Nothobranchius furzeri: one gene and its partners. The protein of the gene in region 3 binds, or shares a complex with, the protein of the main gene of each other region. Links are inferred from orthologs where the notes say so. Each region holds a gene or a part of one and is shown on either strand. Other genes may lie near its edges. The genes, in order: strap, lsm3 and snrpd1.

Region 1 (5,586 bases), on a different chromosome or scaffold from region 3:
TCACAGGGATGCGCTACCACCAGCTCTGGGATCCAAATTTTCTGATAGAAAGCAAAAATCAACACTCACCCTCCTTCTACATTTGGTAAAAGAAAAAATTTACAATTGTAGGGTAGGACCCTAAAAGCTTATAGGTTTAATTGTGGATGTGTTCTATCTTTGGATTTATAGATAATTATTTGATTTTTTTAAATCTAATTCAGGATTTAGGGTTTAAATTTCATTTGTTTATTTTATCTTATTTTAGAAGGAATATATATATGGCTACCTCTGTGAATGACTGATTGTGTTGTAAAGCGCCTTGGGGGGTTCCAGGGCTCTAGAAGGCGCTATATCAAATACAGGCCATACCATTTGATTTAATCCCTTTTCTTCCCATCAAAATAAACAGAAACTAGTTTAAGTTATTAAACTGGATAGTAGGCTACATAGCACTTTTTTAAGGTCATAAAGCAGTGCTCTTCAACTCTTGTCCTCGATATCCAGCGTGTTTTTATTGTTTCACTGTGTGGCGATTGCATGTTTCTGTTGGACACTTGTAAAACAGTCCGGATATTGCAATGTAACTCTTAGAGACACTCACTTTTGAACTAGGGATACTAGCACCGAGTGGGAACCCCCCCCCCCCCCCCCCCCCCCCAAAAAAACTACTCTTGAGAGATAAGCTAATATTTATTAAACACATAAATAAACACACACACATCTGGGGAGGGATTTTCACAGACTCTGGCATTCTCCGTTCTCACACCTGAAAGTCGGTGAAGAACATCTGTTTTATTCTGCCAGACCCATAGGTGCTATACTCTTCTCCAAGGCCAGATTAATGCAGAAACAACTTTATTGTATTTATCTATTTGAACTAAATTAATTAATACACATGACCTGCTTAGAGGCTTGATGGTCTTCTGAACTGGTATCAGCCATCAAATCAGGTGTGCTGGAGCAGGGAAACAACTAAAACATGCTGGATGGAAGAGCTCCAGGACCAGAGATTGAGAGAGCACTGCCCTGAAGACACCAGGATGTAAATCATTTGATGATTAATCCATACGTGTTTCTATTTCTACAGTACAGAATATTGCTATTTTTACCTCCACAGACAATGTTATAAATGTGGCAGGGTGGAGAAATGAGGGCCCGGGCGGGATTTGATCCCCAGGCTCCTGGGTGAGAGTCACGCACTCATACCAGTCAGCCAAAAGGACATCCCCTATGTCAAGTAGCCAGGGCACATGATCAATCGTGACACTGTGACAGGACACTCACACTGTCACATACACTGATCCTTGAAATTAAAGTTTTTGAGACATAAACAGCAGACTGAATAAATACCTGATATAATGTAGTAGGTGGATTAGAACCAGACTGGGTTATTTTGTATTTAAAGTGTAAAATCTGGATCCAACAAGCTTATTATGGGTCTCTGACTTCATGGTTTTCTACTGTAGCCTGGCCTGCCATACTCCTCCTCTGTTTAATTCTGCACAGAGTCTGGCAGGCCAGGCTAGTCCTACTGTAGAAAAAAAATGAAATGGGGAATATGAAAAACTGATCAGACTGTTTATAATACCGGGAAAATATGATATATGTATTTTGAGAACTAATAATAATAATAATAATAATAATAATTATTATTATTATTATTATTATTATTACTGACTACATTAATGCATATTCTAATACTGCTGTGTCTAAACTTTATTTTTCCTGCCACTTTATTTCATTCCAAAGCAGCACAATTCATTCCTGCAATATTCCAATTTTAAATCCCAGTTTTCCAGACTACAGCTCAAACAGCTCCCACTCCTTCGCACAGTCATATATGTTCGCCAGAAGAACGGGAATGTTGTATCTCTGTCGAGAACTTTTAATCAGACTCAGCTTTCAGCTGTGTGCGCTTTACCAAATGACTCTGACAATATGGCGGCGACGGGTCGCACCGCACGCTTACGTTACGTCAACTCTTTTACTACACTGTCACTGTGACGCTGCAGTGCACGTTGCTAGTTAGTTGCAATGTTGTAGCTATTAGCACGACAGCCATTCTTTTGCTGGGGGAGAGCCGACATTTGGTCAGAATAACTTTGAATTCTCGGCTGTTAAAAGATTAATTAACAGACAACGGCAGGACGTTACAGCTTTGATAACAACGCGCCAATTAGACGTTTCGTATTCCTCGGCTACTGGTTAGCCGACCTAGCTTGTAAGCCAGCCGTTAGCGACCAGCTAACTCTTCCTCTTTCGGTCTTCTGTCCTCTGTCCAGCTGGAGGAGCATGGCGATGAGACAGACCCCTCTCACCTGCTCCGGTCACACCCGGCCTGTGGTGGACCTGGCTTTCAGTGGAATCACTCCTTTTGGCTACTTCCTCATCAGCGCCTGCAAAGGTGAGTCCTCAAGCCGTCCAAATCCAAGGTGCTGCCCTGCTCAGGATCTTCATTTACCTGTCTCACTCACACAGACTTCTCTCACTTTGGTCCCTGACTTACCTGCGCCTCAAAAGAAACTTTGTAACGATTTATTTCAGATGTCTTTTTTTATGAAAATCCTATCTGCATTACTTGAATCACCTCAGATGTGTTCAGTTCACGATCTGGTTTCATTCTTTGAAGAATCACATTTCTTTCACAACTTTATATAAATACAAATTTGTCATCGTGTAGGAGTTTTCCTCTGTGTTCACCTACTTGTTTCCAAGCAAAAAGTGGAGATAATTTTTACCTGAAAAATTCTCTTCCATTACAAAAAAAAAAAAAAAAAAACAGTAAAATCATCACCATTCGTCTTAGGCTTCCCTTTCTGTCAGAATAGCCATATGACCCTCACCAAGTGTTCTGTCAGGGAGTGAGGGAAACGGGAAGGTGAATACCATGGCGAAAGTAATAAGCTACTGATGGTTACCATGGTGCCCCTAATAAGCCTCTGCTAGCAGCTTTAACATTTGTTGAGTTTGGTCCTCTTTACACATTCTATATAATTTAAGGCAGTGGCTGTTTCTCAGTGCTTAAGAGGACACTGTCCTGCAAGGATTAAAGAAAACGGTTACATGGAACAGACTTATCTCACGTGACCCGCCATCACGTCATGTGACATGTGAGGTAAAGTTAGATTTATATATATGTATAACTAGCCTTTAACTTTTTTAAATTATGTATATATTGGTTAAATTAAATATGTAAGCAAGTTACTACCCGCTTGCCACCGAATCTGCAACTGCAAAGCAACTGACCAACCATAGATAATTGCTTTGAATCTAAAAAAATATTTCAGATATCAGCCTGATAGCTACAATTAGTTGACTTGCATTTAAACTGGAAATTTGCCCCTGAAGTAGCTGCCGGCTCCTGATCCGCCATTCATTTGAAAATACTGTGGTGTATTCTGAGAAATGTTTCAGTCAGAGAAGGCAACAAGACACCTCCCATGTATTCTCAGTCAGTTAGCTAAACGGCGGACAAACGAAGGACAGACGCCTCTGTAGCACATGAACATTGGAACACGTCTTGGCGGTTCCTGATGACGTATCTCTTAGGCAACTGGGCTGGGACCAAGGCATCAAGGCGAGGTTCCTTGACCTTGAGAAACACCCAGTTTCTCAGCTCAGATTAATACAAAACTGATTTTTAACATTTTACACCAGCTGCTTGAAAGCCACTCAATGTCTTGAGAAAGTTCATATTAATGATCTTTTCATGGGAGTTTTAACAAGTACATCACCATCCCCTTCTTCCTTTTGTTAGATGGCAAGCCCATGTTGCGCCAGGGAGACACAGGGGACTGGATCGGAACGTTTCTGGGTCACAAAGGTGCGGTTTGGGGAGCCACTCTGAATACAGACGCCACCAAGGCAGCCACAGCTGCTGCAGACTTCACAGCGTGAGTGGGGTTCAGCTCTCGATGTAGAGATGCATGATTTGAATTTTGTTGGAAAATGCACTTTTTTCTTGTTTTTAACACTCTTAAAACGTTTAGCTGTAAAAACAAGTTGTCTTTTATTAATAATATATTCTCTTTCTACTCCCCTTCACTCACACACTCTGCAAATGTGCGTTTGGACTCATTGAGATTGTTGGACATACATATTTCAAAAAGGAAGTAAACTGAACCACTGAAAAAGAATTTCACTATCCCATTTACCAGACAAATCATAGCTTCTTAACTTTTTTCTTGTTCTTTATGTGTTATCTTAGAAACCTCAAAACAGAAAAATACAGCAAGTCACTTGGTGCAAGTGGTGCACCTAGGTGAAAGAAGATCAACTGTTACAAAATGAAAAAAAAAATACAAGATCACTCACAATCTCCCTCAACCTTGGGCTCCATGCAAGATCTCACCTTGTGTCATAAAAATGATCTTGTTTTCAGAGTAACTCTTAATTTTAACATTTCAGGAAAAAAAAAAAACGTGTTTAAATCATGCTAAAATTCCCACCAGCAGCATCCTCAAAGTCCTGGTGAAGAAAAACGATCTGTTTTGCATGTGTTTTAAAAAAAAAGAAAACCAACCTTTCTTTGTTTCTGTTACGTGTTTTCTATTAAATGTTTAGTTTCATTTATTCGATAAACTACTATACATCTAGCCTAGAATCTAGAAGACAGTCATTTGTCGAAGCAAAATAATTGTGCATATAGGATGGCTTGCCAGGCTACTATAAATCTATAATGGTGAACATTTTGCTTTCCAGGAAGGTGTGGGATGCCGTAAGTGGAGACGAGGTCCTCTCACTGGCACACAAGCACATTGTGAAGTCTGTCAACTTCACTCAGGTCAGTTTTGCTTAGCATCAGCATCCTTCATATGTTAATTCAGGTATTTTACTGCTCATTTTTTTCACAGATGCCTTTGTACACCAACACCAAGATCAAAAAGTGGGAGCCTCCAGGGCTCACACCTATTTTTAGTTACCAAGTGAATAATTTGTTCAACACATGGATTAATCTGATGATTGATTAAACACATCTCCTCAGCTAATCATTGTTCACATCCTTACAAAATAAAACACTTGTGGGTTTCTTTTTCTATTCCACAGGACAGCAACTGTTTGCTAACAGCAGGAAATGACAAGCTGCTGCGTATTTATGACCTCAGCCAACCTGAAGCACGTAAGGCTACACACTGCTGGCTAGAAGGCGGGGCCAAACACTTCTGAACAGGTCATAGACATCAGATTGCTGTGTTTAGAGTTACTATGGGTTTTAATTAAAGAAATATGGTTTACACTAATCATAAACATTAGTGGAGTTACTTACCCACCCACTCAGTCACACACACACACGCACACCAAAAGAATACTAGATGTGAGCCAACACTTTTTCCTTTAACACTTGTGTGTTTGTTCCAGCTTCACAGGAGATTGCAGGTCACAGTGCAGCCATAAAGAAAGCTCTGTGGTGTAACAATGACAAGCAGATCCTTTCTGCTGCTGACGACAAAACCATTCGGTTAGTTTTTCTCCTGGATGCTTTGTAGAAATCTGATTTCTTTGTCCCGCTTTGGTGGCAGTTGTTCATGTTGACCTTCTGACAGTTTGGATCATATAAACTCTGTGTGTGTGCCCAGGCTGTGGGACAGGAGCTCCATGCAGGAG
Region 2 (5,586 bases), on a different chromosome or scaffold from region 3:
TTTCAGTCTTCTACACTTTTAATGTGAAATACCTGTAGGCTTTAGCCTCTACGACTCTGTATGCCAAAAACTGTTGAATAAAAAAAAATTAAATAAAAAGTATAACTTTCTTATTTTCACTTTTTATTCAACCACATAAAAACAAAATTTTCAAACCTGAGCATGACTAAATCATAAAACACTAACGTCATGTAAAAGAAAAAGAATGTTCTGGGACTCAAATGCAATCATTTAGCTAAAAATCAACATAAAAGTTGAGCAATTTAACAAACATTTCGCTCACAAGGGGACCCGAGTCTTTATAAACACTGGAATGACTCAATCGGAACTGATAAGATTCAGAAAAATGTTTTTCTACTAAAAATAATAGTATCTACTGAGGCCGATTCTTACAATCCCAGAATGTGTCAAAAAATAAAAAAAAGTGTCCTCACATCATACTTCCTGGGTTTTTCCCCCCTCAGACATTTTGCCCTAGAGAAGAGCCTCTGATTCACATGAAATTTAAAGATGAAATAACAGTCTAGCATAAGGAAAATGAAGATTTATAACACTCTCCTACAAAAATGGACACTTCCCAGAAGCAGTTACATCATCCTGTCAGGCATGGGGGGCTTAGCCGACTCGGAGAGGCGGAGCTACGAGGACAACGCCGTCTCCTCTGACAAACAACATGGGGATGTTCCTCTTGGTAGACTAAAGAAACAAATACAGTAAAAACATTTAAATAACAGATATTTTATTTAAATACTCACTAAAGTACCGTCAAATTTAAATAAAACTTGAGTTTCTGATCATGAACAATAATGAAACCTCGTAGAATCTTAAAATTCTGTTTTATTACTTTCTGCAGATCTATTCAGCGTTATGTTAAAGTGACAAGTTAACATCGTTTAACGTTTCTGCATCTGATGGATCTTTAAGCATCACCCAACAGTGGCACAAGTTTGCCACTAAGCAAACACAGCAAAGAGTCCAAAACAAAAGCTGTTCAGTAGAAATGTGGCTAGAGAGGTTTTTCTATGTTTGTTCATAAAAACTGACCTTATAAAGTTCTTCATACGTCTCCTCATCAATCTCCACTGTTGTCACCGTCTCCTCCACATCCCCCAGGATCATATTTAAGTGTTGGTCATACGCCTGGACCAGATGGCAAACATTAGTTAGGACATACAGGTGAAACTGGACAAAAGAGAATATGGTGCAAAAGTCCATTTATGACAGTAATCAAGCTCAGATGGAGAGACCATCTACAGGCTCAGGAACCCTCTGCAGGTGTTCTGGATTCATCAGCTGATAAAAGTCTGACACTAGAATATTTACCTGAACACAATATTCTAATTGTCTGAGATTATGAATGTGGGGTTTTCATCAGCTGAATGCCATAATCATCACAAATAAAGGCTGAAATATCTGGGTTTGCGTGGAATGAGTCTGTCTCATAGATTAGTTTCACCTTTTAAGTTGTTTTACTGACATTAGAATTTTCAGTCTTATTTTTTTTACCTGTTTTATCAGCAAGTATTGTGAAAAAACTGGATCTTCTGAACCGTGTGTGTGTGTGTGTGTGTGTGTGTGTGTCGTACATGTAGTCGACCGCGGAGCTCCCGGTCATTCCTCATCTTCACGTAGATCCGCTCATCCAGACTGAGCCTGATCAAATCGAGAGGCTCCTCCACCGTGTTGGTAGGTGGTTGCTGTGGAACACATTAAAATAATCATCAATGTACGGATTCCATTTTTTATTGGCATATTCATCAAATAGCAAACATTTAAAAACAAAACTAGTCGGTTTTTTTACACTCACCGGAAATGTTTTTAAAAATCTAGATTAAAAATATCCAATAGGGATGGACAATATATCGGCATCAATATCGGTATCGGCCGATGTTAGTCATTTTTAAACATATCGGTATTGGTCCCATAAATAAAACCGGGCCGATATTAATTTTTCTATCTCGTCTCCATTTGTTTATCAGTTTCAGAGGGTGAGGGGGGTGATGTGTATTTGTTTAATCATGTGACAGTGATTGTAATCACCTCAGAAGCGTAAATGTGTGTGTTGTGTGTACACAATAATGTAAATCCAGCTTTAATAATTTTCATTCTATATAAAATCTGCAGATTTTGGAAGCATTAATGTCAGTGTATATCGGTATCGGCAAATATCGGTTATCGGCCATAACAGTGATCTTAATATCGGATATCAGTATCGGTCCAAAAATTTATATCGATGCATCACTAATATCCAAACATTGTTTAGCTGAGTCTTTATATTGTTATTTATTCATTTTTGTTGTGTCTGTACAGCTTTGTTAAGGCTTGCCTTTAAAGACCAGGGCTTAGAAAACAAACCATCTGATAGGAAATGTAAAGAGAGTGTGCAGAAGTACTGATCAAACCAATTAAACGTCTCATGACTTATTAACACTATGGTATCTTTGTCACTAATATCTTTATTTTCAATTAAATTGCACATTACAGCTTAGAAATATTCATTTTAAATCATAAACTTTGATCCAAACAGTTTGTTGAGACTCGTTACTTACTAAAGTTAATAACTAAACACAATAGTTAAAGAAAACTCAATATTAATTATTTGTCCAATTTGCTAGACAAACATAACGGGAAAAGTCATTCATTAATCTTTCATTTGTGAGAATCTGGTAACTTTTACGCGCTTACTGATAATTTTAGGATGAGCTGAACGCTAGGTGAATGTGGGCTAACCGGTTTCACAGGCCTAAACACAATTAAACCGTGTTAGCAATTAGCAAAATGCTACGCTTGTATCCTTAGATTAAAGAAATGCATAAAGTTAATAATGCGCGACGAAGTCAAGCAACTGCACAGACGCTAAAACGAACAAAAGTGTATAAACACGGCAACCAAACGAACCTGCTCCACTTCATCCGCCATGATGCTTTAACTGGCCTAGTGCCTCAATGGGCTCTGAGGTCGCAGTCATATATACGTAGACGCCCCGTGGACGGCTGCCGTAGTGGCCGACCGCCATCTTAGTTGGGTCTCCATTCGCCCCCACTGCATTAATTTCTACTTAGGAAGGTGCTTAGCCAACTAAAAAACGCATTTTATCAAGCTTTTTCACAAAAGCTGATACAATATATGGCATGATAATTAAAATATAAATATAATTTAACAAAATAAATTAAAATATATTTAAATATAGAATTCCATGAGGTAGGCTTGTAAAGTTACTAGTAATCCCGCTTGATCTGTTTTCAAATTGTACGCCGGTTGTTGTAACTGTAGGCTGCACATAAACGGGCATAGACCTACAGGTCTCCCATTAGATGTTTAGAGTATCTTGATCTTGATGCTGTGAGGGTCGCTAGAACGGGCTATTTTGCTGACATCATTGATACAAACTGTAACAATTCAAAAATTCTCCATAAAACGCTTAACTCTGTCTCAGTGTACCAGGACTCTGGCATCATTTTTTCTACTGCTGCTGGAGAATGTGATGACTTTCACAACTTTTTCACTAGCAAAGTCTCTGCCATTAGAGCTGCTATTTTTGGTTCATCTACAGACCCTGATCCAGTTACTCCAATACAGTCCACCCTGAGCTATTTTAATACTCTCTTATTCTGAGTTGTCTAAGCTTGTCTCAGGGCAGAAGTCGTCTAGCTCTCCACTCGATGTTTTGCCACCTCGTCTGTGGAAGGAGGCCTTTCCGTGTTTGGGTCAGTCTCTGCGTCTGATCATTAACGGCAGCCTGAGCACTGGAGTGGTTCCAACTGCATTAAAAGCTGCAGTCAGTAAACCGATCCTGAAGAAACCAGAATCTGATGTCTCTGTGCAGACAATTACAGGCCAATCTCTATTCTCCTTTTCAATTTGAAACTTCTGGAGAAGGTTGTGTGTCAGCAGCTTTGCTGAGAGACTGGGTAGGCATATCAGGATCTGCTCTGAAGTGGTTCTCCTCTTATCTGTCTGAGGGTTAGGGTTAGGGTTAGGTGCTTCTCTGTGGCCGTCTCCAAGTTTGGGTCCTCCACCACCTCCCTCGCCCATGGTGTCCCACAAGGTTCTGTGCTGGGCGCTCTACTCTTCCTCCTCTATCTGCTCCCTCTTCAGCACATCCTGAGCTCCTTCAAAGAAATCTCCAACCATCTTATGCAGATGACATCCAACTGTACATCTCCTTTAAGCCCCATGAGATGTCGAAGTTGCAAGAACTTGGCAGTGCATTTCAGAATCACTTGTTTTTCTCCACTGATTTATTGCTTTTAACCATTCATTAGAAAATGTGTGCAGGTGCAGTTTGGGACACATGATTTATTTATTTATTTATTTTTATCCAAACCCTTATGTATGACTCATTGTCTGGTGACAGGACAGGAGCATGGAAACTGGTGGGCTGCTCTGCAAGCTCCATGCCCTTCTGGCTCAGTGATCTGAAGTTCAGCAGATTTCTATAAAAAAGTTCAACAGTGCTGTGAGAAAGTTAAGCATTGTAACGTGATGAAGGAGCTATTCCTCCAAGGTTATTTACTTTCTCTCCACAGATGCCTCTGACACAGTACTAGGCTGCATGACACTGCCTCAAGATCATGCATTCACTTCTAAAACTGTTTTCTTTCCAGCAAGAGAAGAATGAAGATAAAGGACTCTTTTCTTTTAATAAATCAAAGAACTCTATTTTTAATAAAAGCTAATCAAAACAAAGTGTTAGTCAATAATATAATGTTGACCAATCTGTGAAATAATAATGTTAAGATTAATATGCTTTAATAAGTAATATGACTTTAATCTAGTGCACTAGACATGCTGACTACACATAATGTAAATGCATGGCACATTGCTGTTACTGATTCAGTCAGAACCTTCCTTTCTGAAGCGTGGCATAGTCTCTGTGGTGTTTATAAATCTGCCAGCTTTGATTCGACCAGAAATCAAAACATCCAGATTAATAAAACCAGTTCCAACGCCATCTTAGTTCAGTTCTCAAGCTCTCACTGGAGTTCACCGCATGCTAAGCGAAGTATCGGACCGGCCATCCGGACTTCCTTTTTAAGCCGAGAACCAACAAGCTGGATAAAATCTGTTGCATTTTACCAACCAAGCAACAGTTCCTTTGAGAATAAAAGCTGAACTCACTGACCCTAGGGGGGTCCATTTGACGCTGTCAACCAACTGTCGCTTTTTACCTGGAGACAATCCAAAGACTAGTTTGTCGTACTGCTGACGCTGTTTCATCGGCTCCAGTACCGAAAGGGGGGTCCGAGGACCTGGCGATCTGGATCTGTACGGAGGTCTCATCAAGGGTATGTGTGGAGCGACAAATATGGCGTCTCATGTGTTTATGAAACTCCGATCAAACTCTGATCATAGCTAGAAGCAAAACATCACAACATCATTCAGACTTGCTTCTCCGGGTACGAGAGTTCTGATTAAACATCACTCACACACACCATTCATCTCACGTCTCATTACACCAGATCCATCCATCACTCAGAGTAGGGTTAGTCTTGTTTAAAATTGTTTAAATTGTTTAGAAATTAATCATCTTAAACATTTTAAAGGTCTCTCTCTCTTCTCTCTCAGTTAATACAAAGTGTTACA
Region 3 (5,064 bases):
AATATAAATTTCTTAAAAGCAAACCCAACTTTAACTGTTTCTTAGTGGAGGTCAAGCATTATATGGACTCTATCCGGTTTTCACAAAACCAGAAGGCTGTAAAGACTACTGAAATATGTACCCGCTTTAAGATAATCTGATCCTGATTTATTACTATTTCTGTGTTGATGTCCTCTATAGATATATGCTACTGTAATCTGTATTTTTCTGTACACCCACCTTTTTTATACCCCCCTGGCACTTTGTTTTCTTTTTTTGTTCACATCTCACTTTTCTTATTCGTTGTCAACTGTGAGCTTGTAACCTCATTGTCACATTGTATATTCTATTTTTGTTAATAAAGGTTTGTTAAAAAAAGTCAATCACGTGACCAAGCGTAAAAAAACCGGCAAGCCCTGCGAAAAAAAACAAAAAAACACCGGCAAGCACTGAGCGCTGATCACCGGTGATCTAATAACCTGCGCAGAACTGGCTCATCTCGGACACGGCCACTGTCTCGTGCCTCCCGGAAGTGAACTGAACTGGTCATGAAAGTAAATACACTGATTTTCATTAATGAAGTGAAAGTCGGCAGACAATTATAATTTTCGTCACGAGTAGGGTTATTTTATCATTTACATATTTATATATAAGACGCAAGACCCGCTGTTATTAGCCTGACCCGCCAGCCCGTGATCCTTATGGGATTGTAATGGTTCCCTGTGTAGAATTAAACAGGCTAGGCTCTAGCAGGCTAGCCACTGAGCACTAACTTTAGGTGAGAAACTGGCGACATATTTAACGAACAAACCTTCAGGCGACCAGTAGAGACGAACGTAGCCGAAGGGTTTTTCAGCTGCAGCCTTTCCTTTAATAAGTTGCTTCCATACGCGAAGTACAGGAAACGGCCGACGCTAGCCACAGACATTGTGATAAAAATACTCCTGCTCGAAAAGAACCTGGTGCCTTCGACATGTGACGAATATGTTAAAAGATGATCGTTTAATATAAAATAACTAGCTTTGGGCAATGATTTACGTCATTCCACGAACCTCTACGTTAGCCCGGCAAGCCATCCTATAGGCTACCATCTACCAGGTCACTTTTCCTACACCGCCATCTAGCGGTGACTTTGGTCCCCGGTGTAATGTAAAACAACGTTCCCCCACCTACATGTGCAGTTTTACCAATTATCACAACTGATGTGAGAAACTGCACCTAAAAGTTGACTAAATAAACAGTTTTGCTTTATTTTGTCAACTGTAGTGGGATAAAGGTCTGATGACTAAATAATAATTTCATAAAATACATTTTTATTTTAGAGCCTGGCCTGCCAGACTCATCTGTGTAACTTTATACACAAGGAAGCGTGGGGCTGGCTAGTACACCAGTAGCATTGGGATCTGATTGGGACAACACAGTAGTTAATGATGCTAGTTTATGTGCTGACACTTTATTCAGTATTAAAAACCAACACAAAGAAGTCAGAGTAATTTGTCCTCTTAACCAGAAGTTTAATGTACAAAAAAAAAAGTCCAACTAAAAAGCACACAGAAATTCACAAAACGTTTCTGCTTTAATGAAGCAAAGGAAAAAAAAAATCCTGTACAAACAGTGAAGTGTTAGGAATCAACAGAACAGCCTTGCGATCATCTCCTTGGTCCACCTCGTCCCCGTCCCCTTCCTCTCCCACGTCCCCGTCCCCTGCCTCGTCCCCGTCCAGCCACTGAGGAGACAGATGAGCAGCATCAGCACAAGTGTCACAAACACCATATTGCTCATTTAGCATCTGGTCCTTTAAACCACTCCTTAAATTATGTCGTACAGTTAATGTTACAATTTAGTTCTTTTAATATAAACCCATGCAGAAACCTGTGCAAACACACCAGTTACATCACTGTGAAAACCTTTTTGTTCACGCAAAGGAGAATTCAGATTCACTTTCTAAAAAAAACACCTTAAGATAAAATTCAACTCAACATATCTTATGCATTTTCACCTTTCTCACCTGCTTCTCTCTTCTTGGACTTGATCTTTGGCTCGATGTCAACCAGCAAGGTGTCCAGAGGGAGGCTGTCTGGGAGGATGAAGTAGCGAATATTGTTGCCGCGGATACTCAGCGACTCCAGCTGAGTGGGCTCCCTGTTTTTTAGGGTCATTTTTACCGCCTTCAGGTGAGTGTTCATGCTCACATCAACACCTGAAAAACAGAGAGGAGGGATGAAACACCAGCCATAAGTACATCTGGCACTTGAGTTTAGGATTAATTTTACAGATTAGAAAATATTTTAATTTGCAGGTTGTGTGTGTGCTTGTCTAGGGTTTGTTAAACATAAAAAAATCCCATCAAATAGGATTAAATAATACAAAAACATACATTGTGCAGATTTATCTGTACTAAAGTCTGACTATGAGGATGAAAGCACAGCTGTGGGTATTAATCTACTTAATGCATACAAATATATGTCATTAGTATTGAAATTAAAGAGCTTCAGCTGACTCCTGGCTTATCTGACCACCTTTATGAGCTCACCTGTGATGGTGCCGTGAACCTGGGTGCCATTTTTCAGCTCAATGGTTACGGTTTCATGGCTGAGCTTCATCAAAAACCTGTGGGCATCATTGCACACGATGACTGAGTGAAAACATCACAACGTAATTGGGACATTTCTCGCAGAGGCTAGATAGTAGCTTAGCTTTAGCTATCTAGTTAGCCACCGATGGCTATTAGGTGACTTTTAAAGCGTTTGAAACAATAAAAACACTGATTATCCACCAGTTTAACAGCTAAACTAAATATTTACAAAATGAACTCTAACAAATTATGTTAAAACCCCATTTTGAGCCGCTTTAGTTGATTGACAAGCTAATGCTACAACGGTTGAATGAGTTAACGTCTAGCCTAATATTTTTACTTATTGAAATAGAAATGTACTTAAAGTAGACGTTCATCTATGTTGATAATTAAAACTGTGCGTAGGAACGTGTTTTAAACCCTCAGCGGTCGCCGTAACGTCGCTCAGGATCCATTACATTTTTCCACTTCCCGCCTCATCACCGTTTAATCAAATCCCAATCCATCCGGCCACATCACTTTCATTTGATCAGTTTACGTTAATTCTCCGGTTAATCCGGGACCTCCCGCTGCCGCCTACCTGACTAGTTTCATGATGATGGAAAACAGTAGAGAAAAATCCTCCACCGAAGACAAAAATTACAGCGATCGAGTGAAAACACAGGCCGCTGTTGTATTCGAAACGTTCAGGGATGTGACGTCACTAAAAGGCGACAACAAAGACGAGGGGGTGTAATTACCGCCATCTACTGGTGGAATTGTGATCCGTTCTAACACTTTTGTTTTATTTTTCTGTGCAACATGTTTTACAGTAGTGTTAAAATCCACAATCTTTATTTTACTACTAATTTATTGGAATCTGGCAGTTAAAAGGTCAAATATCCAAAACAAAGATCCCTAAATGATCAATATTTAGGAAGATCACTACCGTTACCTACTGCTGGATTCGTGATCTGCAGAATTTGCAACCAAAAGGTCAAAACGGTGTTTATGTGCAACATGTGTTAAAGTCGTAGTAAAATTTACATTTTTACTGATTTATCAAAATCTGGAAGATGAAAAAAGGTAAAATATCCACAACAATTAACCCTAACTGATCAAGACCTAATTCATTCAACAGATCAGGAGACAACTTCAGAGAACTTGTCGCAGTTGAATAAAACCACAAAGCAGCACTTTCAGCTCATTTTATTAAGAGTAAACTCTGCACCGATACTTAAGAGATTTGGCCACACATCAAATCTGTCTTCTTGAGACCTGCTGGGAATGTATCAAGTATAATCAATGAGAGTGCTTTTTTTTATTCCAAAGATGTAGGCTGAGACCAATAAATCATAAAGTGTGAAGCACAAAAAGAAAAACGGCACAAGGCCATTAAACTCAGCATTATTCCACTTCTAATAATAATAAAAATAAATAAAACCGTCATCCTCTCTGTGTGTTGCCTGCACATGATTGACGCAACACGTTATTAATATTCTGGAGCAGAAAAAGTCTCGACTCAGTGCATCTGCTGTTGAACTCTAGAAAAGAAAATCTAATTATGCAGTGGTTTAAAACAGAAGTCATGAAATATTACAGCAGGTGAGCACGTGTTCCTGGAAATCTTTCATGTGGAAACAGATAATGTCCTTTTGGGGTTTCTCTCCACCTTAACCATAGCAACTGAGTAATCGATCTTCAGATCAGCAGTCGTGTTTTATTCTCCTGTAAACGTTACAGCGGGGCTCAAACAGGAAGTCACACGTCCAACAAAATAAAATCAAAGGTCAGCTGGACGTGAACATTCAGATAAAGGGGTTAAACGTCGGGCCGCTGCGCCATGAAATGTTTTAGGCTTTTAAACTTTGATTTAGCGTGTTTAAAAAACAATGTTAACAAATAGAAACTAAAGAAGGCACACACACCAAAAGAAGATCCTCACTATAATAAGGAAGTGATGATAAATGATTTATTTCTAAAGCAGCTAATAAATACGAGTCAAACGATGCTGTAGTGTGAACGCCGATATGCTAAAAGCGTATAAACCTAAAGTGACTGAAAATGAAGGTAAACAGCTCAGAGATGATAAAATGAATTTCGTCGACTTGTGGGCTGCACGGTGGCGCAGCTGTTAGCACTGTTGCCTCGCAGCAAGAAGGTTGCAGGTTCGAAACTCGGCTGCGGCCTTTCTGCGTGGAGTTGCGTGTTCTCCCCGCGCACGCGTGGGTTTCCCCCACAGATCACAACACGCCCTACAAGTTAAATAAATCGTACGTCGCTTTGGATAAAAGCGTCTGCCAAATAAATAAACATAAACTTTTTAAACTTAGTTGACGACTTAAATTGCGACTTTTTTTAGGGGGGAAATCTTGGATTTTGGAGTTTTTTTGCTTAAAAAAACCTATTTGAACGATCGATGGTGGCCTCTGGTAGTCAGGGAACACTTTTAGAAAAACTTGTCTCACGAGCACCGACTCTGATGGAGGGCCCTCCCACCTGCAGCTGGCTGTAAACGTCTGGAGGTTTTA

The links.
Region 1: snrpd1 (region 3) and strap share a complex: the UniProt entries of both Homo sapiens proteins name them as parts of the SMN-Sm complex. The link is inferred for Nothobranchius furzeri from reciprocal best matches to the Homo sapiens genes SNRPD1 and STRAP.
Region 2: snrpd1 (region 3) and lsm3 share a complex: the UniProt entries of both Homo sapiens proteins name them as parts of the U4/U6-U5 tri-snRNP complex. The link is inferred for Nothobranchius furzeri from reciprocal best matches to the Homo sapiens genes SNRPD1 and LSM3.

The regions. Positions count from the first base shown.
Region 1 is NC_091741.1:63,715,953-63,721,538, forward strand, and holds the start of strap (serine-threonine kinase receptor-associated protein), read left to right. Parts: upstream 1-1,979; 5' UTR 1,980-2,274; coding exon 2,275-2,386; intron 2,387-3,739; coding exon 3,740-3,875; intron 3,876-4,683; coding exon 4,684-4,765; intron 4,766-5,028; coding exon 5,029-5,101; intron 5,102-5,340; coding exon 5,341-5,440; intron 5,441-5,558; coding exon 5,559-5,586. UniProt on the Homo sapiens protein: The SMN complex catalyzes the assembly of small nuclear ribonucleoproteins (snRNPs), the building blocks of the spliceosome, and thereby plays an important role in the splicing of cellular pre-mRNAs.
Region 2 is NC_091743.1:73,197,380-73,202,965, forward strand, and holds lsm3 (U6 snRNA-associated Sm-like protein LSm3), read right to left. Parts: upstream 2,986-5,586; 5' UTR 2,920-2,985; coding exon 2,899-2,919; intron 1,698-2,898; coding exon 1,587-1,697; intron 1,141-1,586; coding exon 1,045-1,140; intron 697-1,044; coding exon 616-696; 3' UTR 107-615; downstream 1-106. UniProt on the Homo sapiens protein: Plays a role in pre-mRNA splicing as component of the U4/U6-U5 tri-snRNP complex that is involved in spliceosome assembly, and as component of the precatalytic spliceosome (spliceosome B complex).
Region 3 is NC_091759.1:18,893,737-18,898,800, forward strand, and holds snrpd1 (small nuclear ribonucleoprotein Sm D1), read right to left. Parts: upstream 3,273-5,064; 5' UTR 3,149-3,272; coding exon 3,135-3,148; intron 2,590-3,134; coding exon 2,513-2,589; intron 2,180-2,512; coding exon 1,979-2,179; intron 1,706-1,978; coding exon 1,629-1,705; 3' UTR 1,404-1,628; downstream 1-1,403. Other genes in the region: gamma-glutamylcyclotransferase, read right to left, coding at 791-907. UniProt on the Homo sapiens protein: Plays a role in pre-mRNA splicing as a core component of the spliceosomal U1, U2, U4 and U5 small nuclear ribonucleoproteins (snRNPs), the building blocks of the spliceosome.